7 linked regions of the Rattus norvegicus genome follow. The protein of the gene in region 1 interacts with the protein of each later gene in a pairwise test. Links are inferred from orthologs where the notes say so. Each region holds a gene or a part of one and is shown in the gene's direction. Other genes may lie near its edges.

Region 1 (3,567 bases):
CTGTGTGGGCCATAGACTGATGACGTGCTTGGCTTTCTGGTATGCTACTTCAGGATAAGGGCCCAGTTCAGACCGTATGACTGATATTTCTGTGTTTGGACATTGATGCTTGAGGGTCTTGCCCTCAAGAAAAAAAAAAATCTGTCTTCCCTAGGGAACGACACAGGGGAGGTGTGGCTCCCGGGTTTCAGGTGGTACATCTCAATGCTGTGACTGTGGACAATCGCCTGGACAACCTGCAGCTTGTACCATGGGGCTGGCGACCCAAAGCTGAAGAGACCTCCAGCAAACAAAGGTGGGTCTTCCCTAGTCAGCACCTGTACTTGAAGGGTCATTACGTGTTTCTGTGTTACCTGTTTTGTGCTTTTACTATGAGTGCTGCAGGACTTTGATATATGACCCGTCACTGCCCGTGGGTGAGGACTTTGCTTTATGGGAAGAATTTTTCATTTATATTTTGTTTTGGAAACAGGGTCTCTCTATCCCTTGCTGTTTTGGGATTCGTTATGTATACCAGGTCTTGAAATCACAGCAGTCCTCCTTTGCCTCTCCTGTGCTAGGATTAAAGATGCATATATACCTCCATGCTTAGCTAATTTTTTAAAAGATTTATTTTATTTATGTGAGTACACTGTCACTGTCTTCAGACTCACCAGAGGGCATCATATCCCATTGTAGATGGGTGTGAGCCACCATGTGGTTGCTGGGAATTGAACTCAGGACCTCTGGAAGAGCAGTCAGTGCTCTTAACCGCTGAGCCATCTCACCAGCCCAAGAGATATTTTAAAAATGAAATTAAAAATGATTTTTCTTAAAGATTTATTTTATGTATATAAGTACACTGTAGCTGTCTTCAGACACACCAGAAGAGGGCATCAGATCTCATTAGAGATGGTTGTGAGCCACCATGTGGTTGCTGGGAATTGAACTCAGGACCTCTGGAAGAGCAGTCAGTGCTCTTAACCTCTGAGCCACCTCTCCAGCCCCATGCTTAGCTAATTTTTATGATTGATTTTTGGGATTGACTTTGTGATAATATACTGTAGGAATATTTTAGCTGGTGTGGTGGAATGAGAACATACCCAGAACTACAGAGTTCCCTGAGACAGGGTGGGCTTCAGTTCTGTTCCTTTGCTGAACAGCTTTCCCTGAGCATTTGAAGGAGAGGGACAAAGTAGCTTAGGAAGCTGACCTGTGTGGGGGCTTCTCAGTTCCCTGGTCCTGAAGATAGTGCTGAACACACTTTTGTATTCTGGAGGGCCATGTTCCTCCTAACCCTCCTCAACTCATCACAGGGAACTTCATGAAGCCCTGGAGAAGAGCTGGGGGAAATGGTTAGGGAAATTTGAACTCATAGTCCCAAGCCACACGGGCATCATTTACCTGCTTATAGGCCTCCCCTGAGGGCTCCTGGATTTTATGTTTGAGTTAAGTCTTTAAGAAGCCTTCTTTGGCATTTACCACTCCAACAGATGCTTGTATTATTAACAAGGTTGGCATTGTAGATAGCGGATAGATCTTTATAGCGAATGTCTTCAGGTGATGCCCAAGCCCCGTGTGCTGCGGATAGGACATGTGGCATACAGTTCTGAACTTGATGCTTAGTGTTGGTCTCCAGGTCCTCAGAAGACAGTTGCCAGGCTCCTTCACTCTGGCAGAGTGTGAAGGCAGCCCTGTGGGGGTCTCAGGCTTTGTTTTCTACCTGGTGTCAGAGGTTTTGAGTCTTCAGTTCTCTCACCACTCCTGTCTGTCTGTCCATCCTTCCCTACTTGCTTCCTTCCTTCCGTCCTACCCTGAGGTTCGTGTGTCTTAGGCTGGCCTCAACTTGTATAGTTAAGAAGCTGAGATTGACCTTTAACTTCCCATCCTCCTGTGAGGCAGACATCCTATTTAGTAGGGTCTGCTATATTTAATCTTCTGAACACACCTTATGATCATGAGATAGAACTACAGTTAAAGCCTCTTTTCAGAAAAGGGCAGTTACAGTTGTGGGGCTGGAAGGCTGAGGTGTGTGGTCAGGTGGTCCATTACCAGTTTCCTCAGCCACTTTTCAGAGATAAGTTTGGTTGTGGCCATGCCTTTCAGGTAGGTAGTAGTACATACCTCTTACTAGCAGAGGCAGGACCAGATTGGACCAGCATCCATGAGCATGTCTGGTATGCCCATGTAAAAGGAAGAAGAGGCGGGTTGGGGATTTAGCTCAGCGGTAGAGCGCTTGCCTAGCGAGCGCAAGGCCCTGGGTTCGGTCCCCAGCTCCGAAAAAAAAGAAGAAAGGAAAAAAAAGGAAGAAGAGGGAGAATGAATGTGTTTGTGTTAGGAGGGGAGTGCTTGGTACTGTGGGCACATGTGATCAGAAGAGGATGGCCAGTGTCCTGGTTTACTTGTGAGGGAGAGTGGGTTATTCATAAGGCTCAGTTAATTAAGCAGCTCCTGTATAGAAACCAGCCATGCCTCTCCAAAACCCCACACAATCTGCTGCACTCACCTGTGGGCAGTCAGCAGGTTATTAGGGCTGTCATGAGTAGGTTTCTTGCTGTTAATATAAAATACCATGACCAAAAGCAATGTCACAATCCATTGTTGAGAATTAAGAGCAGAAATTCAAGCAGGAAACTGGAAGCAGGAACTAAACCTTAGATCACTTGGCAGTACTGTTGTTTTGGTGTTCTCTCCATAGCTTGCTCGGTTTGCTTTCTTACACAAACCAGACCAAGTCGCCTAAGAGTAATACTGCCCACAGTGATTTGGTTCCTCCTATATTAATCCAGAAAATGCTCCACAGACATATCCTTAGGTCAGTCTGATGGTGGTAATTTCTCAGTTGAAGTTTAGTCTTTTTTTGGGGGGGGGGGGGTTCTTTTTTTCGGAGCTGGGGACCGAACCCAGGGCCTTGTGCTTGCTAGGCAAGCGCTCTACCACTGAGCTAAATCTCCAACCCCTAGTTTAGTCTTTCTAAGTGACTAGTTTTTGACAAGTTGACAAAAGCTAACCAGCACAATTGATCTTTGTTAAACACACACACACACACACACACACACACACACACACACACACACACATACACCACTTTAAGCCATACCCCATTTCTTATCTCCAGGATCTGATATTGTTATCACAGTATAAAACCTAAATTTCAACAGTATATATAAATAACTCAATGTTGAGCGTTTGAGACTTACTCATAATTTCTGTGCTATACAGGGTTTCGCAGCTCTGCCATACACAGCATACCACAACTTATCTTGTAGTCACATGCTAAGTCTGCTCCACTCATGCTTGCTACTTATCCCACAATCCTGACATTTCCAATTTGCTGGTATTTCCAACTGTGGTGTTGCCAAAACCCATTACTAAGTTTCACTGTCCAATTGAGATGCATGCCCCTTCTGGACCACAACTTTGTGCTAAATGAGAGAAAATATTTCCCATAAGGTTTCGCTTCAGTGATACTAGTCTTCTGTTAATCACAACTGAGTCTTCAGCCCCAGTGGGCCAGAACCCACAAATCTTAATTCAGATCTGTCACATGAGCACCTCCCAGTACAAGCTTTGAGGAACGCAGCTTCC
Region 2 (4,016 bases), on another chromosome or scaffold:
GTTTGAGGCCCACTTGTGGTGCATGGCACAACCCTGTTTGTTTTTGTCATGTCCCCCTACATCTCGTGTGTGTGTGTGTGTGTGTGTGTGTGTGTGTGTGTGTGTGCACGAACTATCTGCCTAAACTCATACTGCATATTTTCATGTACGTTTTCACAGATTCTCTTCATTTTTATGGTCCTGTCTATGTACTCACACCACAAGTGTACACATACACACTCTCTCATGGAGGCCTCTGTCCACTTCTTGGCCCCTGAGCTACATGATGACTTCAGCAGATGCCTAAGTCTTGGTCATCGGCAGCCTTGGGACTGGGAGGGAGTTCCGGGTGCAGGCTTGCTATCCTTCCCAGGAAGGAGCAAGACTGAGGATGGGGGGTGGGGGTGGAGCCATCTTCCTTGAGATCCTACCAGATGTGGTAATGGGCTCCTGCTCAAATTCCATAGGAGTTATTCCGAAGATCAACTAAAGCAGGAAGGTTTATAAAGGTTGACAGTGGGACAGGGCCTGTGTAGGCTACCTTAGTCCCAAGTGATGGCAGAAGCTAAGAGTTGACATAGAAACAAGCACAGCCTATATCGACCTCTGGGAAGTAGGAGACCCCAGAGGGCATCTGTGGGTTCCTAAGACCTGTGAGGTTTCCTGTTTGGCCAGCTCCACCCTCAACGCCGCCTGAGTGTCTGGGAGAAACTGAGGCCTAGCAGTGGGAGGCTGGACAGTGCCTGGCTTTGGTTCTTTGTTCCCTAATTACCATCTGAGTTACTGATTGTATCCCTGACTTGTCCTCTGCCCAAATAGCCCAGGAATGAGGCCACCTGTCCCAAGAGAGTAGGGACATGTACTGGGAGCTAGTAGTTAGGGATCTCTGCCCAATCTGAGACTTCGCTATATAGGGGATACAGGTTTGGGCTTAACTGGGTCTCCTCTGTCAAGGAACCCTGCATAACCTCTTAGTTCTCCCATTCTTTCATCTCTGTTTGGTTGAGTTGTTCCTTATCCTTGTTCCAGACTAGAGTTGAGGCCCAGAGGGACTTGAGGTTCATTGCCAGTTCTTGGGAGGTGAAGCTGTTTCACTATATGGGGAATGTTCTATCTGGAAGAGGGGGTCAGGAGAAGGCTAATAGGGGGAGGATCCTCAAGGTGCAGGGACTCTGACGCCAATGCCTTGCTCGCAGGTTGCCCTGGAGGCCCCTGGCCAGGCCTGAACCTCTGCCACCATGGCCATTGTGCACACTCTGCCAGTGCCACTGGAGCCCGCACGTGAGACAGCCACTGCCCCACAAACTCCAGCAATGGGCAGCGTGAGCAGTCTTATCTCAGGCCGGCCCTGTCCTGGGGGACCTGCTCCTCAACGCCACCATGGTGTCCCTGGGCCTACCTTCTTCCGCCAGCAGGATGGGCTGCTCCGGGGTGGCTATGAGGCCCAGGAACCACTCTGCCCAGCTGTGCCACCCAGGAAGACTGTCCCAGGCAACAGCTTTACCTATGTCAATGAGGACTTCCGGACAGAGTCACCTCCCAGCCCAAGCAGTGATGTCGAAGATCCCCGAGAACATCAGGCACACAATGCCCACCTCCGTGGGCCCCCACCAAAGCTCATCCCTGTCTCTGGAAGGCTGGAGAAGGTAACGGGCAGCCCTCTTGGGAGGATCTGGGTGGGGTCGAGCTCCCCGCTGGGGAAGCTAGAATTTGGAGGCATGGACTCTGTCTTATCTCTCTTTCTGGCTCAGGGAGATAACCTGTCTGAGCCCCATTTTCTGTGTCTTTACAGTTAAGGTTAGAGGATAATCTTTATAGGCTCCTGTTAGAATTAATACTCCCAAATGAACAATATAGTAGTTCGTGTTTCTCTCTCTCTCTCTCTCTCTCTCTCTCTCTCTCTCTCTCTCTCTCTCTCTTTTGGTGTTTGAGACAGGGTTTTTCTCTGTAGCTTGACTGTCTTGGAACTCACTATGTAGACCAGGCTGGCCTTGAACTCACAGAGATCTGCTTGCTTCTGCCTCCCAAGTACTGGGATTAAAGGCATTTGTTACCACTTCCAGCCAAGTTGCTTTAGTTATTATAGAGGTGTGTGGTGTGGTATGGTGTGGTGTTGTGTGTGTGTGTGTGTGTGTGTGTGTGTGTGTGTGTGTGTGCGTGCGCGTGCGTGTGTGTGTTTGGGCGAAGCCTTTGTTTACCTTTATTCTGGGACTGACTCTATCCTGTTTTTAGTAGGAGAGGAGGATAATGTTTTGCTTGCGTGGCTATTATCATGATTAAAAATAAGCATTTTGAATTACTTAACATAAGTAGACGTTTAGAAACGGTGCCGCCGGGGTTGGGGATTTAGCTCAGTGGTAGAGCACTTGCCTAGCAAGCACAAGGCCCTGGGTTTGGTCCCCAGCTCCAAAAAGAAAGAGAGAGAGAGAGAGAGAGAGAGAAAGAAAGAAAGAAAGAAACGGTGGGAACCATTGTTTTTCATTTATAGGGGTGAGAACCCTGTATGGGAAAGCCAAGTAGTATGATGATTTTGTAAGATCAAGGTGGGCCAGAGAGATGGCTCAGAGGTTAAGAGCACTGACTGCTCTTCCAGAGGTCCTGAGTTCAAATCCTAGCAACCACATGGTAGCTCACAACCATCTGTAATGGGATCCGATGCCCTCTTCTGGTGTGTCTGAAGACAGTGACAGTGTACTCATACACGTTCCTAAGTTCAGATCCAGTACCCATATAAAAAGGTGGCCGTTGTGGCAAAGGACTGGAATCTCAGCACTTGTCAGGCAGAGACAGGCAGATCCCTGGGGCTTGCTAGCCAGTCAAGACTAGCTGGATTGATGAAATCCAGGTCCAGAGATTGTGTAAAAACTTAGGTGGGAAGTGATTGAGGAAAGCTCCTAACTTTGACACTTTGACATTTGATCTTCACACATAGGCACCACGTATCCATACTCATACATATGCACCCCCCTCTGTGTGTGTGTGTGTGTGTGTGTGTGTGTTTTGAAAGATCAAGTAAGCAAAGTGGGCTTGGTATCACACACCTGTAATCTTGAAGGGCTTGTGTTCAAGGGGATACATAGTGAGTGGACCCAGGCCAATAGAGTAAAACCCTGTCTCACAACAATACTAAATTTTTTAAAAAGAAAGGGGTCGGGCAGATCATCCTCACAGTGTCACATGCTACCTCATTTCAGAATATGGAGAAGATCCTGATCCGACCAACAGCCTTCAAGCCAGTGCTACCCAAACCTCGAGGGGCGCCATCCCTACCTGGCTTCCTTGGTCCTCGAGCTGCTGGGCTATCTGGGAGCCAGGGCAGCCTGACACAGCTGTTTGGGGGGCCAGCCTCTTCCTCCTCCTCTTCCTCTTCCTCCTCTGCTACTGACAAACCCTTGGCACTCAGCGGTTGGGCCAGTGGCTGCCCTTCAGGAACACTGTCAGACTCTGGCCGAAATTCTTTATCAAGCTTGCCCACCTACAGCACCGGAGGTGCCGAGCCAACTGCCAACTCCCCAGGTGGGCACCTGCCCTCCCACGGCCCTGGCCGAGGGCCACTGCCTGGTCCAGCCCGAGGGGTCCCTACTGGGCCCTCCCATTCAGACAGTGGCCGGTCCTCCTCCAGCAAAAGCACAGGTTCCTTGGGGGCTCGTGTAGCTGGGGGGCTCTTGGGCAGTGGGGCCCGGGCCTCCCCTGGCAGCAGTTCGGGTGGAGACCGCTCCCCACCCCCTCCACCACCTCCACCCCCTTCGGATGAGGCCTTGCTACACTGTGTCCTGGAAGGGAAGCTTCGAGACCGAGAGGCAGAGCTGCAGCAGCTGCGGGACAGTGTGGATGAGAGTGAGGCCGCCGTGTGTCAGGTGCGGCCAGTGGCAGTCCTGGGGCGGTGTGGCTGAATACCCAGGGCCTAGGGACAATTCCTGTTGGGGAGGAAGAGGGTAAAGACTCATGATGTGACACCCCCAAGGCTATGAGCATAACCTTCAAAGCAGTGAGGAGGCAAGGTATGTGAATTGGATCCAGCACTGGCTTGTAGGATG
Region 3 (4,073 bases), on another chromosome or scaffold:
TCAGTCTGGAATGAATCTGGAATGTAGAACCCGCCCAGACCCACACTACCCACGCCGTGCTGGGGCAAGCCACTCTCAAGTGCGGAGCAAAGGGGCGGAGCCGAGGTTTCTAACTAGAGGGACGTTTCCTCCCTCTGGCCAGTCCGCCACGCTTTCCACCCCCACCCTCTCTCCCCAAAGGCCTACACAACCCCCACGTGCCCAATACCCCCCCCAACCCTCCTAGCCGTGGGCGTGTAATGGGAACCAGATGGGGCTAGAAGAAACCGAGGGGGTTGGGCTCCTTGAAGGCGGTCCTCCGTGGTGGGCAGTCACGTAGACTACTCTTAGCCTCTTGCCAAGCTTCCACTACACTGTCCAGAGAGATCCAATAATTCATGACCTCAGAGAAGGCAGCCACCTTTTCCTGGCTTTGCCGTCCAATCCAAGCAGTAAGGCCTGACCATCAGAAAATAAAAAAGCATGGTAACCCCATCCCTGTCCTACCTACCAAACCCCGACGTGCCTAACCAACGCTCATGTAAGTAGTAGATTCTAGTATAACTTACGACCAGGGTTTCTGAGAGCCGCCTCTTCATATTACAACCTTTAGGCCAGAGAACGGTGTTGAAACACCGAAGGGATTCCTGCGCAGCCCCGCGCTAACAAGTTTACCCTAAGGGTACATCCTCCGGGAGCGGAGCAGGAGGAACCGAACACCCGGACCCCTCTCCAACTTTTTTCCCATCACTTCTAACATTCAAACTAACGGCATGGCGCGGCCAGAGTGCGGCCAACGGGCGTCCGCGTCGTTGTTTAGACGCGTGTGCACGTACGTGCGCGTGTCTTTGTATACTTGTGCGTGGTTGTGAAACTGCGCTCTCGGCTCACAGGAGTAGGAGTGGTGCAGGGAGTAGGAATGTAGCCGGCGGGGCGCTCACGTGGGTACGTGGGCGCAGAGAGGGCCGGCTGTGCATCCGGCGTGGGCGGCAAGGAGCGACCTGCCCCGCCCGTTGGGTCCCCAAGCTCCCCCCTCCATAGCTCGGCCTCGGTCACCTCAGTCCCCAACTCGGAGCCCGATTCTTGAGTCCCCGCCTCCGCCTCCTGCTCCACACCTTCCCCCCACCTTCCCCCAAGTCTCCTCCTCTCAGTCTCCGCAGCAGCCTCTCGGAGGCTCAGGCCTGGGCTCCCACCCACCGCCTCCGGTCCCAGCCCCCGGTTCTGCCCACGCCCTCCTCCCGCCAGCCCGGCAGCCAGCGCAGCGCGGGGCCTCGCTCCCTGTGCGTCCTGCGGGGGAGGAGGCGCGGAGAGGCGGCAAGCTCAGCCGGGGAGGTGGGGGCAGAGGCACAGACAGAGGCGCGGAGGCTCCGAGAGAGAAGACGTGGAGGGAGGGACGGAGCCAGGACAGCGGTGGACCCGGGCCGCGCGCGCTCCAGGCAAAGAGCAGCGCGCAGCAGGCGCCGGGCACCGAGACGGGAGGCACGGGTGATCTCTGGCCGTCCATGCACAGAGCGCCCTCTCCCACAGCGGAGCAGCCACCTGGCAGAGCGGATAACACCCGCCGGACCCCACAACCCAGAGTCAAGTTAGTGGGCAAAAGGAGGTGGCAGGGAGTGGAGATGGGTGGAGTTGGACTCCCGAATGGGGGTCTAGGGGGTGGGGGTCGAAAAGAGGACGTGGAGAATCGGGAGGTGGGAGGTGGAGACTGATAGAAAAGGGGGGGTGAGTATTCGAATTGGGGGATCCTGGGAGCAAACAAAGACCCAATGAGCCTGGTTACGATAGAGTACTGCCTCATTTTCCATTCCAGGTTTACTCAGTGGGCATAACCTGGTACGTGAGGCCCTACAAAGACTGTCCCCCAGCGCCAGGGAGAGCTCCAGAGCTTGATCTGTCAACAGTGAGGGGTGGGGGAGCTTAGCTGTCTTAGTGTGTCATTAGCCGGCAGCGCACCACCCCTAGGTCTGGGAGAAGGTGGTTCCTTTGAGTTAAGCATCTGTGGGCCTGAAGGGGGTGTGCTTCAGGCCTCCCTTGTCATGAAATGACCATTCACTGAATGAGGAGGGGTAGCCCCCGCATGCAGCCCCTTCCTCAAGAGGCCTTCAGTCTCTCTCGCACTCCCTTTTGAAGATAAGGATGGAAAACAAGGAGAAGAGAGTAGGCGGGAGCCCCCAGGCAGTTTTCGCCTACAGACGCTGCTCCTGTGGGAGTGTGTGGGAAGAACGGCCCCAGAGCAGAACAATCAAGGCTTCCCTCCCCCTTTCCCAGAAGAGAAGGACCAATCAAAGGAGAGGGGGTAACTGGAAGGGTACTGGGCAGCCTAGAAAGTTCGGACAGATTCTAGGAAGAGTGCTTTTAAACCCTGGAACCTAAGGACATGAGCAAGGGTCTACCAGGTTCCCTAAAGGCCAAGGAAGAGGCCACACCCCTCCCTCCCAGCTACCTGGGCAAGGAGTGAAGTGGCCAGCAGTAGCCCCTAGTATTCTAAGTTAACTTTAATATGGGATGTTTGTGCCACTGAGCAATGCTCCATTCTCAACCTTGGGCACTGGGCAGGAAAGAGGACAACTGTTAGTGTGGGTTGGTTGGTACCCAGCAGGACACTTGTACTCACCGCCTGTCTCCTGCCCTTCCTTCTCAGGGCAAGTGCCTCAACCATGGCACTGCCTCGAACACTGGGTGAGCTGCAGCTGTACCGGGTCCTGCAGCGTGCCAACCTTCTTTCTTACTACGAGACCTTCATCCAGCAGGGAGGGGATGATGTACAGCAGCTGTGTGAGGCGGGCGAGGAGGAGTTCCTGGAAATCATGGCACTTGTGGGCATGGCCACCAAACCACTCCATGTCCGACGTCTACAGAAGGCTCTGAGAGAATGGGCCACCAACCCAGGGCTCTTCAGCCAACCAGTGCCTGCTGTGCCTGTCTCCAGCATCCCACTTTTCAAGATCTCTGAGACAGCTGGTACCCGGAAAGGGAGCATGAGCAATGGGCATGGCAGCCCAGGAGAAAAGGCGGGCAGTGCTCGAAGCTTTAGCCCCAAGAGTCCCCTTGAACTTGGAGAGAAGCTATCACCACTTCCTGGAGGACCTGGTGCAGGGGATCCCCGGATCTGGCCAGGCCAGAGCACTCCAGAATCTGATGTTGGAGCAGGAGGAGAAGAGGAGGCCGGGTCTCCCCCTTTCTCCCCCCCTGCAGGGGGAGGAGTCCCTGAGGGGACTGGGGCTGGGGGGGTGGCTGCAGGTGGCACAGGGGGTGGTCCAGACCGCCTGGAACCAGAGATGGTGCGAATGGTGGTAGAGAGTGTGGAGAGGATCTTCCGGAGTTTCCCCAGGGGTGACACTGGAGAGATCACATCCCTGTTGAAGCTGAATAAGAAGCTGGCACGGAGTGTGGGGCACATCTTTGAGATGGATGATAACGACAGCCAGAAAGAAGAGGAGATCCGAAAATATAGCATCATCTATGGCCGCTTGGATTCCAAACGGCGTGAGGGCAAACAGCTTAGCTTGCACGAGGTGAGTACCTGGGTCTTCAGGACTGCCCTTCACTCCTGGGCTCAGTTCACTTGCCTCAGAATCCTCCACCTCTGTATCACTGTCCCCTTGACCACCCCAGTTCCTTCCACACACCCACACATACCCAACCCCAGCTGCTGCCTCACTTCCCTCAACCTAAGGGAAGAATAATGGCAACGAAACCCTGTGCTGCTCACATGCCAGGAACAGGAGGCCTTGGGAGGGACAGTCTCTAAGTTCAGGCAGTTAAGTCCTGGGTATTATTTAAAGCAGGCATTCTTTGGATGGGCCTCCCTTGGTGGTGAAGGGGAAAAGCAGTAGGAGAACCAAGAACTCACACTGATTGTCCTCTTGCCACAGTTGACCATCAATGAGGCTGCTGCCCAGTTCTGCATGAGGGACAACACCCTTTTACTTCGAAGGGTAGAACTTTTCTCACTGTCCCGCCAAGTAGCCCGAGAGAGCACCTATCTTTCTTCCTTGAAGGGATCCAGGTGAGACCCCCTTCCTTCCCCAAGGTTGGAATCCTGCCAAGGACTTGGCTCTCCCAACTTGCAACTCAGGCAGCTCCAGGCCTGT
Region 4 (4,366 bases), on another chromosome or scaffold:
ACTAAAAAAACGGGGTTGGGGATTTAGCTCAGTGGTAGAGCGCTTGCAAGGCCCTGGGTTCGGTCCCTAGCTCCGAAAAAAAGAAAAGGGAAAAAGAAGAAAAAGAAAAAAAAAAAAAAGAAAGAAACTAAAAAAAACAGGCTGAGCACAGTGCTTCATATCTAATCCCAGCATTTAAGATGTAGGGGTAGGAAGATCAAGACTTATTTAAAGTCATTGTCAGATTACCCATGGAGTTCAAAGCCAGTCTCGGGACAAAAATAAACTTAAGAAAGCCCATGAGATGGTACATGCCTGTAATCACAGTGCTTGGAGGCTAACGCAGGAGGATTTCTGGGAGTTCGTGCCGGGTGTGGGTTATATAGTGAATCTGAGGCTAGTATGAACTAAATAGCCAGAATTTGCCTCCAAAAGAAGAAAAGGTGGAGGAAAAAGGAGGTAGAGGTGGAGGAAGAACTGGAAAGATCCTTACATTGGCTTTTACCTCTCCAGTCCTAAAAGGATCGGTCGGTGTTTCCTTTGAAAAGCATGTGAGGCTGGTAGTTAACCACAAACTACGGATGAGTTTAATAAGCATGTTTCTGTGGAATTTTTCCATAAGCATTCAAGTTGCATTTGAAGAAAAAAACCCTACGACTAGTATGTATCTTACACCCATCTCTAAAGTTACCTTTCAATCATTTACTCTCCACTTACCAGCTTTTATCGTTTTTCATATACCATGACTTCAGACAAAGGTAGCGAGAAGTTAACTTTTTATTTAGAATACCGAGACTGTTAGCTTTCTCCTTTCGCAGTTCTGCGAGCTAGCTTTTATCTGTTCTGGGACCAGGAGATAAGCTTACCTATTGTGAGGTCGTGCACAGGCTGGAACCGCTTGTCGGTAAACTGAAGGAGGAGACATGACTTCCCCACACCTGAAAAATAACGGTGTGCATTAGATGCAGGTCACCCAGGAAGCCGCAAGCTCCCAGGAGGGGCACAGGGTCTAAGGGAGGGGCAGAGCCCCGCCCCCGGAGCTCGCCCCGCCCCCTCCACTCAACTCCGCTCGCCCCGCCCCGCCCGCAAGCCGATTTTGGAGGTAGGATCCCCGCCCCAGCCCCGAAGGCGGTCCGTTGGCGGGTTACCTGTGTCTCCGATGATGATGTACTTGAAGAGATAAGCGTAAGTCATGGTCCCGAGGTGTCGGTGTTCCGGGTCCTCCCGATTTCCACAGCCACTTACCTCCGACCTCTCTAGCCGCTCAATCTACGGATCTCCTTATTTGCCTCCACTCCAGCCCTTCTAGCTCAAGCTGCGTCTCTATTGCTCTCCCCAGAAATCTTCGCCGGATCCCGAATCCAGGACACCGCCTCTAGGGCCGCCCCATGCTCTTCTACATGCCATTATCCCACCAAGCTCCAGGGGGCGACAGCGACCTTCGGGCAGCTCGGCTAGCGACTGGTTGCGTCCCTTGACTCGGTCCAATCACCGGAGAGCGACGCTACTCCTTGAGGAAGTGACGCTCTCGGAACTTAGTGGGGGCGGTGGGAGCGATGCGGACGCGGAGTCGCTGAGACGCTGGTGGTGGTGTTGTGAAGATGGAGGTAGGGGCTAAGTCTGGAGGGTTAATGAGGGTTCGTGGCCGACTGGTGGAAGCAGAAGCGAGAATGCTGAGGAGCGAGGGGGGCTCGGGAGTGCTGGGAGGACTGGAGTCTCAGCACGCCCCTACTCCGCTCACTTATCCCCGCGGCTTTCTTTTGGTTTACAGTTTCCCGGAGGAAATGACAATTACCTGACGATCACTGGGCCCTCGCACCCTTTCCTGTCAGGGGCCGAGGTGAGCAAAAGCTGCTGATGCTGGGGCGCCGGAGGGCCTAGGCAGCGGTTGGGGTGGACGGTGAGGTGAGCGCGGGGGCTGGCGGGAGCTGAAGGGGGACAGTGTCCGAGGCTTCGAGCACCTCTAAGGACTGTGGACGGGGGAAGAACGGAAAGCGGCTGTCATCAGAAAACCAGGATGTTGAAAAAACAGCCTATTTCCTTAAAGAGTTTCTCTGTTCCGAGTAGAAAGAACGAATGGAATTGTTCTTTGGTTGGGGTGAAATAATTAACAGTCTTGGGAGACAGCAAGAAAAAAAATTTTTTTCAGTAAAGAAATCAAGATATAGAAAGTAGTTTATCTAGCAGGGATTAACCTCGGACAGTTGTTAATTCTTGAACTCTATGTTGGTCTCTTTCATTTGAAAGGTCTTCTCTGATCGAAGTGGTTAACCTTAACTGACGTGGCTTCTGTTTGCTTTGCTATGGAAGGACCGAGGGAAAGAGATAGCTGCTAGAGAACATAAAAGGAGTAGAGAGCACTTGTTTCCCAGTTTCCTGTTTCTCTTCACAAACTGATTACTTCCCCCTTTGGATTACAGTTGTCAAATGACCATAATAAGAGGGTTTGTTTGTTTTGTTTTGCTTTTTAAAGATGGTGTAAAGTAGAAAATAATGGTTGTCAGAGGTTCTAAGGCCTTCAACAAGGGTCGCCTAAGACCATGGGAAAACATGCTTACTTTATGATTCATAATAGTAGCAAACTTATGGTTATGAAATAGCAACGACAATAATTTTATGGTTGGGGGTCACCACAGCATGAAGAACTGTGGTAAAGGGTCCATGCAGCATTAGGAACGTTGAGAGCCACTTCTCTAAGATATTCTGAAAAACTTTTGGTTGACAGATTCTCCTACTATAAGCATAATAACACTTATTTGGGCAAGCAGTGTATGAAAGTGTATAAAAGGTGCAGTGTGGGGTTGGGGATTTAGCTCAGTGGTAGAGCGCTTGCCTAGCAAGCACAAGGCCCTGGGTTCGGTCCCCAGCTCTGGGGAAAAAAAAAAAAAAAGGTGCAGTGTATGAAATTTTCCCATTTTTTGAGAACTTGAGCCAGGGTCCTTCTTTTGAGGATTATATACTACCCCCCCCAAAGTGCTGTGAATTCATTTGTATGTTTTTTTGCACCAAAAGTAGTTGTCCATTGCCTTTGTGTAGGTTTATCCTATGGTTGAGAGATGATTGACAGTAAGTAATTGCTAGTTTGCTTTTGGGTTGTTTTTGTTGTTGTTGTTTTTTTTTTTTTTTTTTTTTTTTTTATAAAAGACAGTCTTACATAGCTCTGGCTGTCCTGAAACTCACTATATAGGCCAGGCTGACCTCAAACTCAAAGAAATCCTCCTGCTTCTGCCTTTCCAGTAAAGAATTCTTCCCATTCAAAACAGAACTCTTTTCTGGGATTAAAGGTGTGCTCTCCTGGCTGCTGGTTTATTTTTTCAACTTATTATTATTGAATATTTTCCTAAACAAAGGGATGGCACAAATGAATGGCAAAGTTAGAAAAGAAACTGAGTCTTGCACTTGGTGATTTTATTTCGAGTTCCTTCCAAGAGGTCTTCTATGGTCTAATTTCATTGTTTGGAGTGCTGTAAGTCACACTGTCCTTATTTATAGGAAAGTACATTTTAAAAGTAAATACAAGGCTGGGTGTAGTGTTACACATCCATAATTGTAATCCCAGCATTCGGGAGGCAGAAGCATGTGTGTATCTCTTTAAGTTCCAGAATTACATAGAGAGACCATGTCTCCGAAAAGGGAAAAAAAGTGAACACAGCTTTCCAATTTTTCCTACTAGTCTTGTGTCTGAAGTTGATCAAAGACTAACTCCATGAGTGATGGCACTTTTTTTTTTTTTTTTTACAAGTTGCACAAATCATTTATTTTTATAAAGGCAGAGAAGGGAATAGGAAAGTGAGTGATGGCACTTTTAACATCCAGGGACTAGGGAGAGAAGCACTGGCCTACTGTGTGCTGGACCCTTGATCCAGCACTGGCAGAAAAAGGAAGGATTTTCCAGGCTTGTTCCTGCCCTTTGTTTTGTTTTGTTACGGCTTGTGACGTTTCTGTTGAGAAGAGAGGACATGCAGCTGAGTTTTAAGCTCCATTTCAGTAGCCTCCTTTAGGCCTGGACTCTGTTCTTGTTGCTTACAACTTGTCCACCTACTTGTTTCTGCCTCTCAGTGAATTTTTAAACTTTGTTTTCGTTTTGTTTAGGGGGAATTGTTTCACTTGGCTGACAGCAAACTTGCTGTGTGACTAGGCTGGCCTTCATTTGCCTCTCTTCCTGAGTCCTGGGATTAAAATATATACCGCCATGCCTGGCTTTTAACCTCTATGCTAATGAATGTATGGGTTTTGTGTTTCCAGCCTTATTTTGAGCCATCACAGACAAGTTAAAAAATAGATGATCCTTTTAAAGCAATTCTTTCTGAAGAACAGTCATTTTTCAAGTTTGTTTGGTTTTTGTTTTTATATTATCAGAAAGAAAATGCCCCTATGGAGCATAAAA
Region 5 (4,367 bases), on another chromosome or scaffold:
TGATTGAAGGAATCGATCCTGCAGTAGCAGCAGAATTAGCAATCCCCAGTGACCTTGTAAAGTATGTACGGGCCAGTGTTTAGCACCTGGTGTTCCTGACAAGAAAAAAGCTGGCTTCTGACCAGCTTCTAGAGACAGACAATCACTTACCATCTCCTTTCCTATCCTTTACTGCAGAAGAGAGTGTGCAAACTGCTAAGTACCTGTGACTCGGTGACTCGGTGACTTGGACATTTTTTGAGAGGTTAGGTGTCCGCAGGAACACAGCACCAAGTTCCTGAGTACTCTTAGCATGAATCTTTTGGTAAATTTGCACAATGGGCCAGTATCCTCTTATTTTCTTTCTTTGCACTGGGGCCCAGGCAGCCAGAGGGGAAAATAGCTGTTCACACAGGGAACTGGCCTAAGTTTAAATCAAGCAAGCCTAGTGGGATGGTAATGACATTTCCAACATCCACGGGTTCTGCCTTCAGGATATGTGAAGCTAGAAAACAATGTCATTCATTCAACATTTATAGAGAGTACACAATGTACAGTGGCACCGTGCAAGTACTGTAGGGCAGGCAAAAAAGTGCAAAACCTAACCCCCTCATGAGGGTTCCTGCCAGGAAGAGCATGTCAACTGTAACACAGACCTTGCACTTTTGGGAAGAATTCTTGGGTGAATAAAGTCTGCTTACTTAAGATAAGCATGGAAAAATATACCAACAGCTCCATGTACCTTTTAGGAATAGGACAGGTAAGTGGGGATTTAACCATATTTTCTAAGGTGTTAGTGCGCTAGGAGATTAAGGTGTTCTCAGCTTACTTTGCATTACTTGTATATCTGGACAGTTGGTAGAATCTTAACGAAGAGAAGGCCAGCACTTCTATGTGAAAGTGGTTAACTTTGAGGGAAAGTGGCTTCCAAGGAAAACAAAAAGGTAACATTTTCATCTAACTTGATCCCAACCACCACTGAGGTACACCCTCTGTGCCCAGGTTCAACCTTAGCGCCAGGTTGAGCAGTGCACCTCAGTATCCTGGAGTCTACTGCAAGTACATAGTTCCCTGCATCCTGGGTCGCCAGCCTGGCGCCTTCAAGGTCGCCATGGTAACCATGGGGTACCAAGACCAGTCCCAGAACGTCCAGCCTAGAAATCCAAACTGGCAGCGGTGGCACGAGCGAGTCACCTCAGCTCCTCCCCCGAGGGGATTGCGCGATCCTCTGCCTTGGGCGCTACTTGTGTAGCATCAGTGGCCGAGCGCTCCGCGGGCCCCAGACCGGCCGGGATCCTGAGCACGAGCGCGCCACGCTGCCTTCTCTTATGGTTTCTCTGCGGGGCCCGCAGCTCCTCCAGGCCAGACAGGCGGCCCATCCTTCCTAGGCTTTACGGATTTCCGGGGGCGACGAATTTTGCCTCGGTCCCTACGAGCATCTCCCGCTTCGCTCCCCCGCCCCTCGCGACTCCCCCCACCCCTGGGCGCGCGCGCGCACACTCACTCACACTCGCAGGCGCGCGTGCGCACGCCCGCGCGCCCCGAGCCGCGGAGTCTCCAGCGCCCCTGAGCAGATCCCACTCTCCCGGGCGCTGCTACTCACACAGGCTTCTAGCCGCCACGGGGCGTCCTCTGTCTGCGGCAGCGGTGGCGGCGCGAGCGGAGGCTGCAGTCTAGCCCGGTCTGGCTGCTCTGCGCCCTGGACAGAGTCCGGCAGAAGCGGGATCGAGAGGAGAAGCCGAGGCGAGGAGGAGCCGCGCCGCGCCCGGCGCTCGCTTGCCTCGAATCCCCGCACCGCGGCCCCAGGTAAGCGGCTCCGCGGCCCGCAGCATCCCCGGGGCGTAGGGACTCGCCGCCTAGGAGGGGTTCCCGGTCCCGCCCCCGAGGCGGCCGGGGAACAAGGGACCTAGGGGAGTGGGCGAGGGGGGAGGGGAGCGGAGCTGGAGGTAAGACTGGAAGGCGGCGGTGTGGGGGAGCCCCCTGCGCCCTTCCCCGACGCTCCCCGGGCTCCCGCACTTTTACGAGCCGGGGGTGCCCGGCGCCCCACACAGATGTTCTCCGTTCTTTTTATCGCTGGCCGGCCAGTGTCTGCTCGGGCTCCGCGCCTACCACGCACCAACCGCCTCCCCTGCACCTTGGACAGCGCATCCCGCCTCTCGCCTTCCAGGGACCGCACCCGGGACCCTGCCCTGCCCGCGCAGCCCTCGGGTTGTTCCCGTCTTTCCACACTGTCCTCCTCCTGTCTTGCATAGCATCTCCCCGCCTTGGCGTTCTCCACTCTGGCGCGGGCCAGAAACTTTCCTCTCTGCCCGATCTGCGCGAGGTACTATTGTTGTTATTTGTGTCTTTCCCTCTCTGCTGGAACTGGACACAAGGACAGGTCTTCCTCTGCGGGCCATTGCCTGCCTTGCCCAGTCCAAGACCGCACTGGGCAGCGGAACTTGGACACCCGACCGGCGCCTCGGCAGCTGGACGCCCGCGGGTTCCCCGCCTTTCTGGACACGTGCACTCCTCCCACGGACCCGGCCCCTCCCGGACCACCCTATGTCCTCCCCCTGCATGGCCACTGCCACCCCATAGGTTGGACACCCGGGATCGCGGGCTCTGATTGGCTGATCATATAACCCCGCCTCCTTGGAGGGGGTGGTTCTGGAGTGTTGTGGTTGTCATCCCGCAGCGAGCACATGGGGGAAGTGGGGTCGACAGGTGGGGAAGCCCAGCTCTGTGGCATAGGCATCCCCATGTATGTAACTGTAGTTCCTTCAGCCTGCACCTTTCGCTTTACTCCCTCTCCTGCAGTCTCCCACTGTTATAACATTAAAATATTTTAAATTTTGTTGAGATTATGTTGTTCAGTGGTAGCGATTTTTAAAAGTAGCTTTAGGAGAATGCCGGAAACGAATGCACAAGAGATTCATGACAAACTGGGCTGCAGATTTGAGTTTGGTTCTTTGGGGGAAGTAATGAAGAGTCATTAAGGGATATGAAGAAGGTGGAGAAAGGAGAAAGGAAATGGATTGATGGCAGAGACGGTTGCTGGTTGCTTATGAACCCAAAGAAGGAAGTGGTGGGTCTTTTGTAGGTTGCGACGTGAAAAAGTCCCTGGGAGCTCTAGTGGGAGGCAGCTGCATTCTGCGGAAGACTGCTCTCTGGAAAAGTAGTAATTTTGTCTACTACTCAGGTCGTGATTAACACACTTTGCTTTTGTTTTGCTAGCGTTGCACTCTTGATAGTAGACTTATAGTAATAATGTCCGCGCACGTAATGGATATTGATTATTCTGCTTTCTTGTAATATGCAGATTTGCTAATGGTAATGAATTTTATCCCTCTAGAGGGAAGCATTAGTTAAAGTGCTTTTGAAATATGGTGAGACAAGACGGATGGGCACTGTGTAAAATCTAGAGACTGTCCTGACATTGTGCAGTGCCATTCCAGAAATCTGTACAAATGACTTTTATTTCTCTTCATTTCAAAGCCTGATTGCCTCTGGCATTTTCGAGCCCTAATTCCTACAGGCTGTTTTGATGTTGTGTCTGAACATCTTAAGAATATTGTAATTCTCATCTTTGTAACCTTGTCAATGCAAAGCAAGCGGCAAGGGATGGAGGGTAATGTTGACAGTTTTATAGTGAGTACACCGTGTGTCATTTCATCTGTAAGCTGGTGAAATATGCAAAAGGAACATGGCAGGGCTGTAATTATCCAGGGACCCAGATCCTAACCAAATGAGAGTCATGCGAGGCTATTCCAGGGAGAGCAATTCAATTATGTTTAAGACGAAAAAAATTTTAAGATTCCTATGTGTAAAGGGTACCACTAGTTGAATGGTCTTTGAACACATTGGTAGCACATGTTAAGTAAAATGGCTCCTTTAATATGTGAGATGATTCAAAGAAGCTGACAAAGCTTCCCAGTTTTTCCATTATATAAATAGGAAGAAGAGCCTTGCTCTCTGGAAGGCTTCACAATCAAGGGACAGGGTTTGACGCATCTGATACATCTGAAGTCATTGCCGTTGCTGAGAAAATGATTCTGACTGTGTTTTTATTTCTCTAGTTCATGCTCTGATTTTCTCACATGGCTTTAGATGCTGGTTGCAGGCCGACGAAATTTATATGTGTGTAGACTGGAAAAGAATGTGTGTGATAGCACAAACATATATGAGTATTGCAAAATAAATATTTATGTTTGCACGCAGTTATAAACTGATACATATAATTTTAGGGTACAGGCAATGCATTTATTCATATATACATTATTGTCGGCCTCAGAAATTTTGCTCATCTCTTCTTGTCCAAAAGGTGGCCCTGTTTTAAACTGTAAAAACATTATCAGCAGTAGAATTGGCCAATAGATCACAGAAACAGACAATAGTATTTTGTTGCC
Region 6 (4,247 bases), on another chromosome or scaffold:
GCCCCTCCCTCCATGCCTCCTGCGGTAAAGAATTAACATTTGTAGGAGATGGTTATATTTGGTCATTTTGTGTTTGGTTATGATTATGGTTCTTACCTGCCAGAGTGTGAATTTGTCTGAAATTGGTGTTTTGTGAAACTGAGCTGAACAAGACACCACCGCAGCCTCATTATGGGTGCTGGGCAAGTTCCTGGCAACAGCAAAGATTCAGGGAGGAGGGTGCAAGTTCCAGTCAGGAACTGCTTTTTCCTTTTCACAGCCATACTTGCTGTGGGGAAGCAGGACTGGCAACTCCTTTTGGCAGAGTCTCTTCATTACTAGACACACTTCTAATATCTTCTAACAAGTCCACTTTGCTTCTCCACACCTCTACCTCTCCACAGCTAACACTAGATTTGCACCCCTGATCAAGCAGTAAAAGAACCAACCAGACCCAGAAAGAGAAGCTTTGCCAAGGTCTTCCAGTTAGCTGGTGACGGGGTTAAAACTTAAATGCTGACTTTGGAGTTTTTCTCCTTTTCTTTTTATTTTTTCAACACAGAGTCTATGTAGACTAGGGCTGACCTTGAACTCAAAGAGCCACCTGCTTTTGCTTCCTGAGCCACCATTGCCCAGGTTGACTTTGGTTTTCCATCCAAGCAAAACCTTCCAGACAATAGGGCATGCTGTTAAATATCTCAGCTATCAGCTTCTAAAGTGATTTAAAAACTAAAGACCTTTTGTTCACAGTGTGCTCTACCTTCTTTCTTCTTTTTGGGGGTTCTATGGAAGGACTCATGACAGCTGGGATTCTAAGATCTTCCCTAGCTTGTCCAGTCTTATTCTTGTAATGGCCACCTTCCTGCCTAATGGCCCTCCTTTTGCTTTGAGATACTTAAGACTGTGTAGACCAGGATCTCCTGGAACCCATAATCTTCCTTCCTCAGCCTCCAGGGCTAAAATCAGTTATATGTGGCTCAGGTCCCTACCCTTCTCCCTACAGGGAACTCTGCATCCCACCTCCACACAGGCGCTACTTTTCATCATCTCCTCCCTTAGGCCTTCTAACCTGTGAGTCCTCTGGAAACCCTAAGGCTTCGTTGGAGAACTTTCTTTTTGTTGTTGTTGTTGACTGTTCTTCGTACAGTCTGTCAAGTGCACTGGGTTGGGCTAGGGAAACCATGCTCAACCTCCAGCCTTTGAGCTTGTTTCCTTTCACGCGAATGAAACGCTTCTGAAACCGTCACAGGCTGCGGTCCTCTCCGTTCACATAAACAAGGGGCAAAGGGACCTTAGACGCTTTCTCCATCCAGGTTCCTGACTCTCCCCAGAGAACCATACCCCAAAACCGCATGCTGGACTGCAACGGCGCCACCGACTGCGCACGCCCCAGCTCTTGGCTCCGCCCCCAAGACGCGGCCTCCAGCCTGGCCGCGCCTGCGCAGCTCCGCGCGCCAGCTTCCGGGTGGAGAGAGCGCGCGATGGGGCGGCTGGTGGACGTAGCAGAGTAGCGGCGGCGAGTGGGCGTGTGCGCCGAGCGGTCGGGCGCCCGCGCAGGAGTCGCGGGGTCTCAGGGAGCGGGTCCGGGGCGCGGAGAGAGCTTCGACTGTCACCCGCGTCCGCTCACTGGCATGTCGGCCGAGGCCTCTGGCCCGGCGGCGGCTGCGGCCGAATGCCTGGAGTCCCCTAACCCCTCAGGTGTCGAACCTGGCTCCCCCTCGTACAGTCTGAAGCCCCTGACCCCGAACAGCAAGTATGTGAAGCTGAACGTGGGCGGCTCGCTGCACTACACCACGCTGCGCACCCTCACGGGGCAGGACACCATGCTCAAGGCCATGTTCAGCGGCCGCGTGGAAGTGCTCACAGATGCGGGAGGTATGCGTGCCGCCGGTACACGTGCTGCCCTCCAGCCCCCAGTTCATTCCCGACTCCCTCGTCCCATCTTAATCTTTTCCTAATTCAAAATCTCTCTCTTTGCCCAATCCTTTATTTCCAGCAGTAACATCTGCCAAGCGCTCAGTTGCCGATTATCGGGTCTTCCCTTAGTTCTAAAAGCCAAGGAACCAGTCCTACTCGAGCAGCACCCTTCAAACACCTTTACCACTTACTTCCCACTGCCCAACCTTTTGTTTGCCTCTCTGCAGTAGAACCGCCAGCAGGTAGCCTCGAGAACTGAAAGATTTGATCTGTCTCTAACTCAAGTGCCAGCACTCTCTAGGAATCATCTATAAATGCATATATGTGAAAAGAGAAGGCTGCTCTGGGTTTGTCAGGGACCTGAGTGAAGGGCGCAGCTCTTGACAGGTGAACCTTAGGAGTGTTGCCTTTAAATTGGGAACCCATTTATTATAGAATAGCTTTAAAGGGAAGGGTTTAGCAAAGATGAAAGGAAACAATTAGCAGGTGAAGTTCAGCTTTCAGGTACTGAAGATGAAAATCCACTTATTTGATAAGTATTGTGAAGCATCAGTTAGTGTTAGAGAAAGTTTGGTAAAGGGATCTGATCACCCCCCCGGGGGGGGTTTGGGGAGGGCATTGAGTAGGGATGATCAGTAAGCAAGAAAATTTCATGCAATCAGAGTAAGTTCTTGGTATTCCAAGTAATATTGTTACTACTTTATCGTTGTGAATTAGAGGATTGAAAGTGGACATTTTCATTAGGTGAGATGGTTAAAACTAATACAAGGGGTTAAATGTGTTCATAAGGTAATTTGGTGAGAATTTCTCCGTGGTAAGCTGGGCTTGGTGGCACCTGCCTATACTATAGTGCTCATGCTCAGTCTGGGCTACATAATGAGATCCTGACTTTACGTCCCTGTGCTGAGAGCCTTCTGACCATCCACCAGATTTGGGAGCGAGCTCTGTGGCAGGTGTATGTATGATACACTGGAGATGTGTGAAACATTGGATATGGTAGAGGTATAAAACAGATAAGTATTAGGGGTTTTTTATCTTTGTTGTTGCCTCCCTGCCCCCACAGGATTTCTCCCTGTAGCCTTGGCTGTCTTGGAACTCACTCTGTAGACCAGGCTGGCCTTAAACTCACAGAGATCCACTTGCCTCTGCCTCCTAACTGCTGAGATTAAGGGGTGGACCACCAGGCATATATAAGTTTTCTTATGGCTTTGCCATCAGTTTTCTAAGAATGTATTAGCCCGAGTGCCCCCAGCAAACCATTTTTCCTTTTGCCTTTTCCCACCCCACCAGGTTGGGTGCTGATTGACCGGAGTGGCCGACACTTTGGTACAATTCTCAACTACCTGCGGGACGGGTCAGTGCCACTGCCTGAGAGTACCAGAGAACTGGGGGAGCTGCTAGGTGAAGCCCGATACTACCTGGTACAGGGCCTGATTGAAGACTGTCAGCTGGCGCTGCAGGTGAGAGTCCCCCCCTCACCTTCTTGGTCCCTGTCCTCCTATCCAATAGATAGCTATTGCAACAGAAGAGAGATATGGCCCAGAGAGCCTCACTTAGACTGGATTTGACCCCTAGGCTTTTGGGATTTGGGGGGAGCATAGTCCTCGGCAACATGCCTGCTGCTTGAGGCAAGGTCAGTTCTACCTGGTGTCCAGGCTATTGTCAATAGAAATGCCTGCTTGGGGGTGGGGTGGGGGCTGAAGACATGGCTCAGGAGTTAAAGCACTGGCTGATCTTCCAGAGGTCCTGAGTTCAATTCCCAACAGCCACATGGTAACTCACAACCATCTGTAATTCAATCTGATTTCCTCTTCTGGTGCGTGTGAAGACAGAGCATACACACACACGATATGTTTATATATATAAAATCATAAAGAATTACCTGGTCTGTGCTTGCAGCTGTTCCTGTTCAGCGTGTTCATTCTCCCCTGAATGACATTCTCACAGAACCCCAGTCTATTCTCTCCTTGCTCAGAAGTCTTAAGTAGCTCTCTAGGCCAGCAGGGGAATCTCAATTTATATAATTTAAGTTTTCGATTTCTTATTACATTACGTGTGTGTGTGTGTGTGTGTGTGTGTGTGCGCACACACACACACACACACACACACACACACACACGCCCACGCCTATCTTCCAACCCTCAGGGGTTTTTATTTTTAGGGCTTTTTCAAACAGTGAGACTCTTCTGGAATAAAGTGTTATACAGTAGAGCCATACTCCATCAGCAAGGCTGGGGCTTCCCAGGCCTCCCCACCTGTGCTGCTATACTTGTGTGGGTTCTAGGAATCCAGGCCGGCTCTGTGGTGCCTAGTACTCTTGAACCAGTCAGTTCCATTCTCTAGCTTTCTGT
Region 7 (3,567 bases), on another chromosome or scaffold:
CTTCCACCACGGCAGAGCCTTCCAAGCCTACCTCCTGCCGTGTGGTAATCTACCTGCAGCGGGAGATGTCAGGGGACACCTGTCTGTGCCCAGCCTCAGGAGCCAAGCCCAAGATAAGTGGCTTCAAAGGAGGTGGGCTGGGTAACAAGTACGTGCAGCTCAATGTGGGGGGCTCCCTGCACTACACCACGGTGCGGGCTCTCACCCGGCACGACACAATGCTCAAGGCCATGTTCAGTGGGCGGATGGAAGTGCTGACCGACAAAGAAGGTGAGGCATTGCATCGGGCATGCTGGGTAAGGGAGGGCAGGAAGGGGGCATGCTGGGTAAGGGAGGGCAGGAAGGGGGCATGCTGGATAAGGGAGGGCAGGAAGGGGGCATGCTGGATAAGGGAGGGCAGGAAGGGGGCATGCTGGGTAAGGGAGGGCAGGAAGGGGGCATGCTGGGTAAGGGAGGGCAGGAAGGGGGCATGCTGGGTAAGGGAGGGCAGGAAGGGGCCATGCTGGATAAGGGAGGGCAGGAAGGAGTCATGCTGGGTAAGGGAGAGCAGGAAGGAGGCATGCTGGGTAAGGGAGAGCAGGAAGGGGGCATGCTGGGTAAGGGAGAGCAGGAAGGGGGCATGCTGGGAGGACTCCAGGTTGGGCTTGAGCCCAGGAGATCTAGGATATCTATCTTTTCCTCCTCACTTCATACAAGTTTTTTTTTTTAAAGATTTATTTATTTATTATATATAAGTACACTGTAGCTGTCTTCAGACACACCAGAAGAGGGCATCAGATCTCATTACAGATGGTTGTGAGCCACCATGTGGCTGCTGGGGATTGAACTCAGGATCTCTGGAAGAGCAGTCAGTGCTCTTAACCACTGAGCCATCTCTCCAGCCCCATACAAGTCTTAACAGAGCTTCAGAATTCCTTAAAATTGTACATAAAGTGCTGTATGTTTATGTATCATACTCATGTTGGTTGTGGTTACATCTGTAACCCTAGAACGTGGAGGTGGGAACAGGAGTATCAGAAATTTGAGGCCAGCCTCCACTGCTTAATGAACCTGAAGCCAGCCTGGGCTACATGAAACCTTGTCTTAATAAATAAGTAAATAAATAAATAATAAAATTGAATCTTGGAATCCTGGCACTTGCTTGTAATCCCGGCACTCTGGAGTTTGAGACCGGTCAAGCTCAAACTTGAGGCTAACTGGAATAACGGTGTCGAAGCTGATAGGTGTATTTATATCCAAATAGAACCAGGGCGGGGCCAAAAGGTAAGTAGAGACTGGTTGTTTCTGTATCACCAGAGTGGCGCGAGTAGCCCCGACATTAGACATCCAATCCTCCACAGAGCCCTGAATATAGCAGTTCCCGAACTCAGAATAGGGAAGAGCAGCACTGTCCTGAGACCTAGAGTCTCTGAGCCACTGGGCCTGGGCTCTGGACTCTGCTCGCACACTTCCTTTCCTTGCATCCTGCTGCCTGCCTGCCTCTCTCAGGTGGCCTTTGCCAGCGCTGACACAGCTGGAAACAAACAGTAATCCTGTGGGACCCCTCTAAATCCCTAGGCTGGATCCTCATAGACCGTTGTGGAAAGCACTTTGGCACCATCTTGAATTACCTCCGAGATGACACCGTCACCCTCCCTCAAAGCCGGCAAGAAATCCAGGAATTGATGGCTGAAGCAAAATATTACCTCATTCAAGGGCTGGTGAGCTTGTGCCAGGCCGCCCTGCAGGTATGGGAGTGTCAGGTGATTTGATGAGGGCGGGAGTTGCCCTTCTGGGGACACGAGGCTTGGCTCCTGGGGAGCTGTGTTGGAAATGAGGTTGATGAGTGCAAACCCAATCAGAACAATGGGGAGCTGCCCAGGCCCAGGCCCAGCTGCTAGGGATTCATGCCTGGCAGCCCGAGCCAGCTGTGCCTCTAATTCATTTGCCTACATAGCAGCTTCAGATTTCTGACAGTGAGAATGTCAGTATCTATTTCCAAGAACGTCATGAACTGTCTGGTACCTCCTTACCAGGCAGGGGTGACTGGCAGAGGCCTGGGATGTACCTGGCTAAGCTTGGCTAGCACAAAGTCCTAAAGGCAGCTCTCTGCTCTGTGTGTCACCCAGGACAAGAAAGACTCCTACCAGCCTGTGTGCAACATCCCCATCATCACATCCCTGAGGGAGGAGGACAGGCTCATTGAATCCTCCACAAAGGTACTGGGTACCCTGAGGGTCTTGGCCTGGGGACACCAGGCTCCTGGCCTGACCCTTACGACTTTTCCTTCCCTCACAGCCGGTGGTGAAGCTGCTGTACAACAGGAGCAATAACAAGTACTCGTACACCAGGTATGGCGGGCGCCTTTGCTGGGCCCTGCGAAGGGTGGCAGAGGCAGTTTCAGGGCTGAGCACCCACAGTGGGCACGGCACAACAGACCTGAGGGATGTCACAGGTCCCCAACACACATCATGGGGCTGGGTTTGAAACCACCTTTGGAAAGGGAATGAACAGGTATACGAGGGAGCTCAGGGTAGAGACATTTGGGGTTTATTACATGGCCTGGTTGGGATGTAGATGTTAAAACGTGAAACATGCCTGTGTCATATCAAGAGCATGCCAGGAATTATCATCTCTATTGTCTCAGGTACCAGATGGATCATGACCAACTTTATAATACATATGGCTAGCCAGGATCTTAGAGAGTAAAGAGGGATGCTAGGAAGGTATGAGCTGAGTCCTCTTGGCACATGTGCGTCTCACTGTGCCCTGGTTAGGTAGATCCAGGTGGCTGGGCTTGGTTCTAGACTCTCCTGGTCCCTGATGGACAATACATCACCCCATGGCACTGCCGAAGTCGTAGTGAGGGACCCTTTCTTCCAGGCTTAAGGAGAGGTCACTTCTTTCCCTTAATGCTCTCTGCTGTAACTGAGGGCCAGCTCCAGCTCCACCCCTTTCCCTCACGGGCCCCAGTCCCTGTCTGTCAGCCTTATCTTCATTTCAACACAACAGGAGCAGGGAACAGGGAGCCCAGCCCTTCCCAGCAGCCAGCACCCTTGAGCTGGAACCTCATTCTAGGCCTGCTGACCTTCTGGTTTTTTCAGCAACTCTGATGATCACCTACTGAAAAACATTGAACTGTTTGACAAGCTGTCCCTGCGCTTCAATGGTCGCGTGCTCTTCATCAAGGACGTCATCGGTGACGAGATCTGCTGCTGGTCTTTCTATGGCCAGGGTCGTAAGCTGGCAGAAGTGTGCTGCACCTCCATTGTGTATGCCACAGAGAAGAAGCAGACCAAGGTACGTATGGGCGTTACTCTGCCAGGGCACAGATCACACAGACTCCACAATGGAGAACTGCACTGCCCCAGTGTACCCTGCCCACAGCAACAGAAGGGCCACACGTACTTTACCAAATATGGTACGATGGTGCCAGGTAGGACAGAGTCCAGACAGAGTGTTTTGAAGATGGTCAGAAACTGTCAGCAGCTGCTGAGGAAGAAGCCCACTGAGCAGCAAGGAACTTTCTGGTGCTGTGGAAGGACAGGTATTTGAAGTTGTCGCAACTCAGGTTGTAGTTCTAGTCCC

The links.
Region 2: the proteins of Zmynd19 (region 1) and Lzts2 interact in binary tests that used the Homo sapiens proteins (3 or more experiments, as listed by UniProt). The two-hybrid records come from large-scale screens. The link is inferred for Rattus norvegicus from reciprocal best matches to the Homo sapiens genes ZMYND19 and LZTS2.
Region 3: the proteins of Zmynd19 (region 1) and Nab2 interact in binary tests that used the Homo sapiens proteins (3 or more experiments, as listed by UniProt). The two-hybrid records come from large-scale screens. The link is inferred for Rattus norvegicus from reciprocal best matches to the Homo sapiens genes ZMYND19 and NAB2.
Region 4: the proteins of Zmynd19 (region 1) and Tox4 interact in binary tests that used the Homo sapiens proteins (3 or more experiments, as listed by UniProt). The two-hybrid records come from large-scale screens. The link is inferred for Rattus norvegicus from reciprocal best matches to the Homo sapiens genes ZMYND19 and TOX4.
Region 5: the proteins of Zmynd19 (region 1) and Enox1 interact in binary tests that used the Homo sapiens proteins (3 or more experiments, as listed by UniProt). The two-hybrid records come from large-scale screens. The link is inferred for Rattus norvegicus from reciprocal best matches to the Homo sapiens genes ZMYND19 and ENOX1.
Region 6: the proteins of Zmynd19 (region 1) and Kctd13 interact in binary tests that used the Homo sapiens proteins (3 or more experiments, as listed by UniProt). The two-hybrid records come from large-scale screens. The link is inferred for Rattus norvegicus from reciprocal best matches to the Homo sapiens genes ZMYND19 and KCTD13.
Region 7: the proteins of Zmynd19 (region 1) and Tnfaip1 interact in binary tests that used the Homo sapiens proteins (3 or more experiments, as listed by UniProt). The two-hybrid records come from large-scale screens. The link is inferred for Rattus norvegicus from reciprocal best matches to the Homo sapiens genes ZMYND19 and TNFAIP1.

Annotation. Positions count from the first base shown.
Region 1 is NC_086021.1:28,159,273-28,162,839, forward strand, and holds part of Zmynd19 (zinc finger MYND domain-containing protein 19), read left to right. Parts: intron 1-154; coding exon 155-295; intron 296-3,567. UniProt on the Homo sapiens protein: May be involved as a regulatory molecule in GPR24/MCH-R1 signaling.
Region 2 is NC_086019.1:253,830,924-253,834,939, forward strand, and holds the start of Lzts2 (leucine zipper putative tumor suppressor 2), read left to right. Parts: upstream 1-1,175; 5' UTR 1,176-1,217; coding exon 1,218-1,625; intron 1,626-3,173; coding exon 3,174-3,836; intron 3,837-4,016. UniProt on the Homo sapiens protein: Negative regulator of katanin-mediated microtubule severing and release from the centrosome. Required for central spindle formation and the completion of cytokinesis.
Region 3 is NC_086025.1:65,386,454-65,390,526, reverse strand, and holds the start of Nab2 (NGFI-A-binding protein 2), read left to right. Parts: upstream 1-1,271; 5' UTR 1,272-1,481; coding exon 1,482-1,564; intron 1,565-2,620; coding exon 2,621-3,494; intron 3,495-3,854; coding exon 3,855-3,988; intron 3,989-4,073. UniProt on the Homo sapiens protein: Acts as a transcriptional repressor for zinc finger transcription factors EGR1 and EGR2. Isoform 2 lacks repression ability.
Region 4 is NC_086033.1:27,461,211-27,465,576, forward strand, and holds the start of Tox4 (TOX high mobility group box family member 4), read left to right. Parts: upstream 1-1,524; 5' UTR 1,525-1,580; coding exon 1,581-1,586; intron 1,587-1,750; coding exon 1,751-1,819; intron 1,820-4,366. Other genes in the region: Rab2b (ras-related protein Rab-2B), read right to left, coding at 846-917, 1,128-1,173. UniProt on the Homo sapiens protein: Transcription factor that modulates cell fate reprogramming from the somatic state to the pluripotent and neuronal fate. In liver, controls the expression of hormone-regulated gluconeogenic genes such as G6PC1 and PCK1.
Region 5 is NC_086033.1:58,926,189-58,930,555, forward strand, and holds the start of Enox1 (ecto-NOX disulfide-thiol exchanger 1), read left to right. Parts: upstream 1-1,551; 5' UTR 1,552-1,785; intron 1,786-4,367. UniProt on the Homo sapiens protein: Probably acts as a terminal oxidase of plasma electron transport from cytosolic NAD(P)H via hydroquinones to acceptors at the cell surface.
Region 6 is NC_086019.1:190,963,640-190,967,886, forward strand, and holds the start of Kctd13 (BTB/POZ domain-containing adapter for CUL3-mediated RhoA degradation protein 1), read left to right. Parts: upstream 1-1,433; 5' UTR 1,434-1,610; coding exon 1,611-1,854; intron 1,855-3,186; coding exon 3,187-3,356; intron 3,357-4,247. UniProt on the Homo sapiens protein: Substrate-specific adapter of a BCR (BTB-CUL3-RBX1) E3 ubiquitin-protein ligase complex required for synaptic transmission.
Region 7 is NC_086028.1:63,920,458-63,924,024, reverse strand, and holds part of Tnfaip1 (BTB/POZ domain-containing adapter for CUL3-mediated RhoA degradation protein 2), read left to right. Parts: 5' UTR 1-65; coding exon 66-270; intron 271-1,557; coding exon 1,558-1,727; intron 1,728-2,108; coding exon 2,109-2,198; intron 2,199-2,277; coding exon 2,278-2,330; intron 2,331-3,083; coding exon 3,084-3,279; intron 3,280-3,567. UniProt on the Homo sapiens protein: Substrate-specific adapter of a BCR (BTB-CUL3-RBX1) E3 ubiquitin-protein ligase complex involved in regulation of cytoskeleton structure.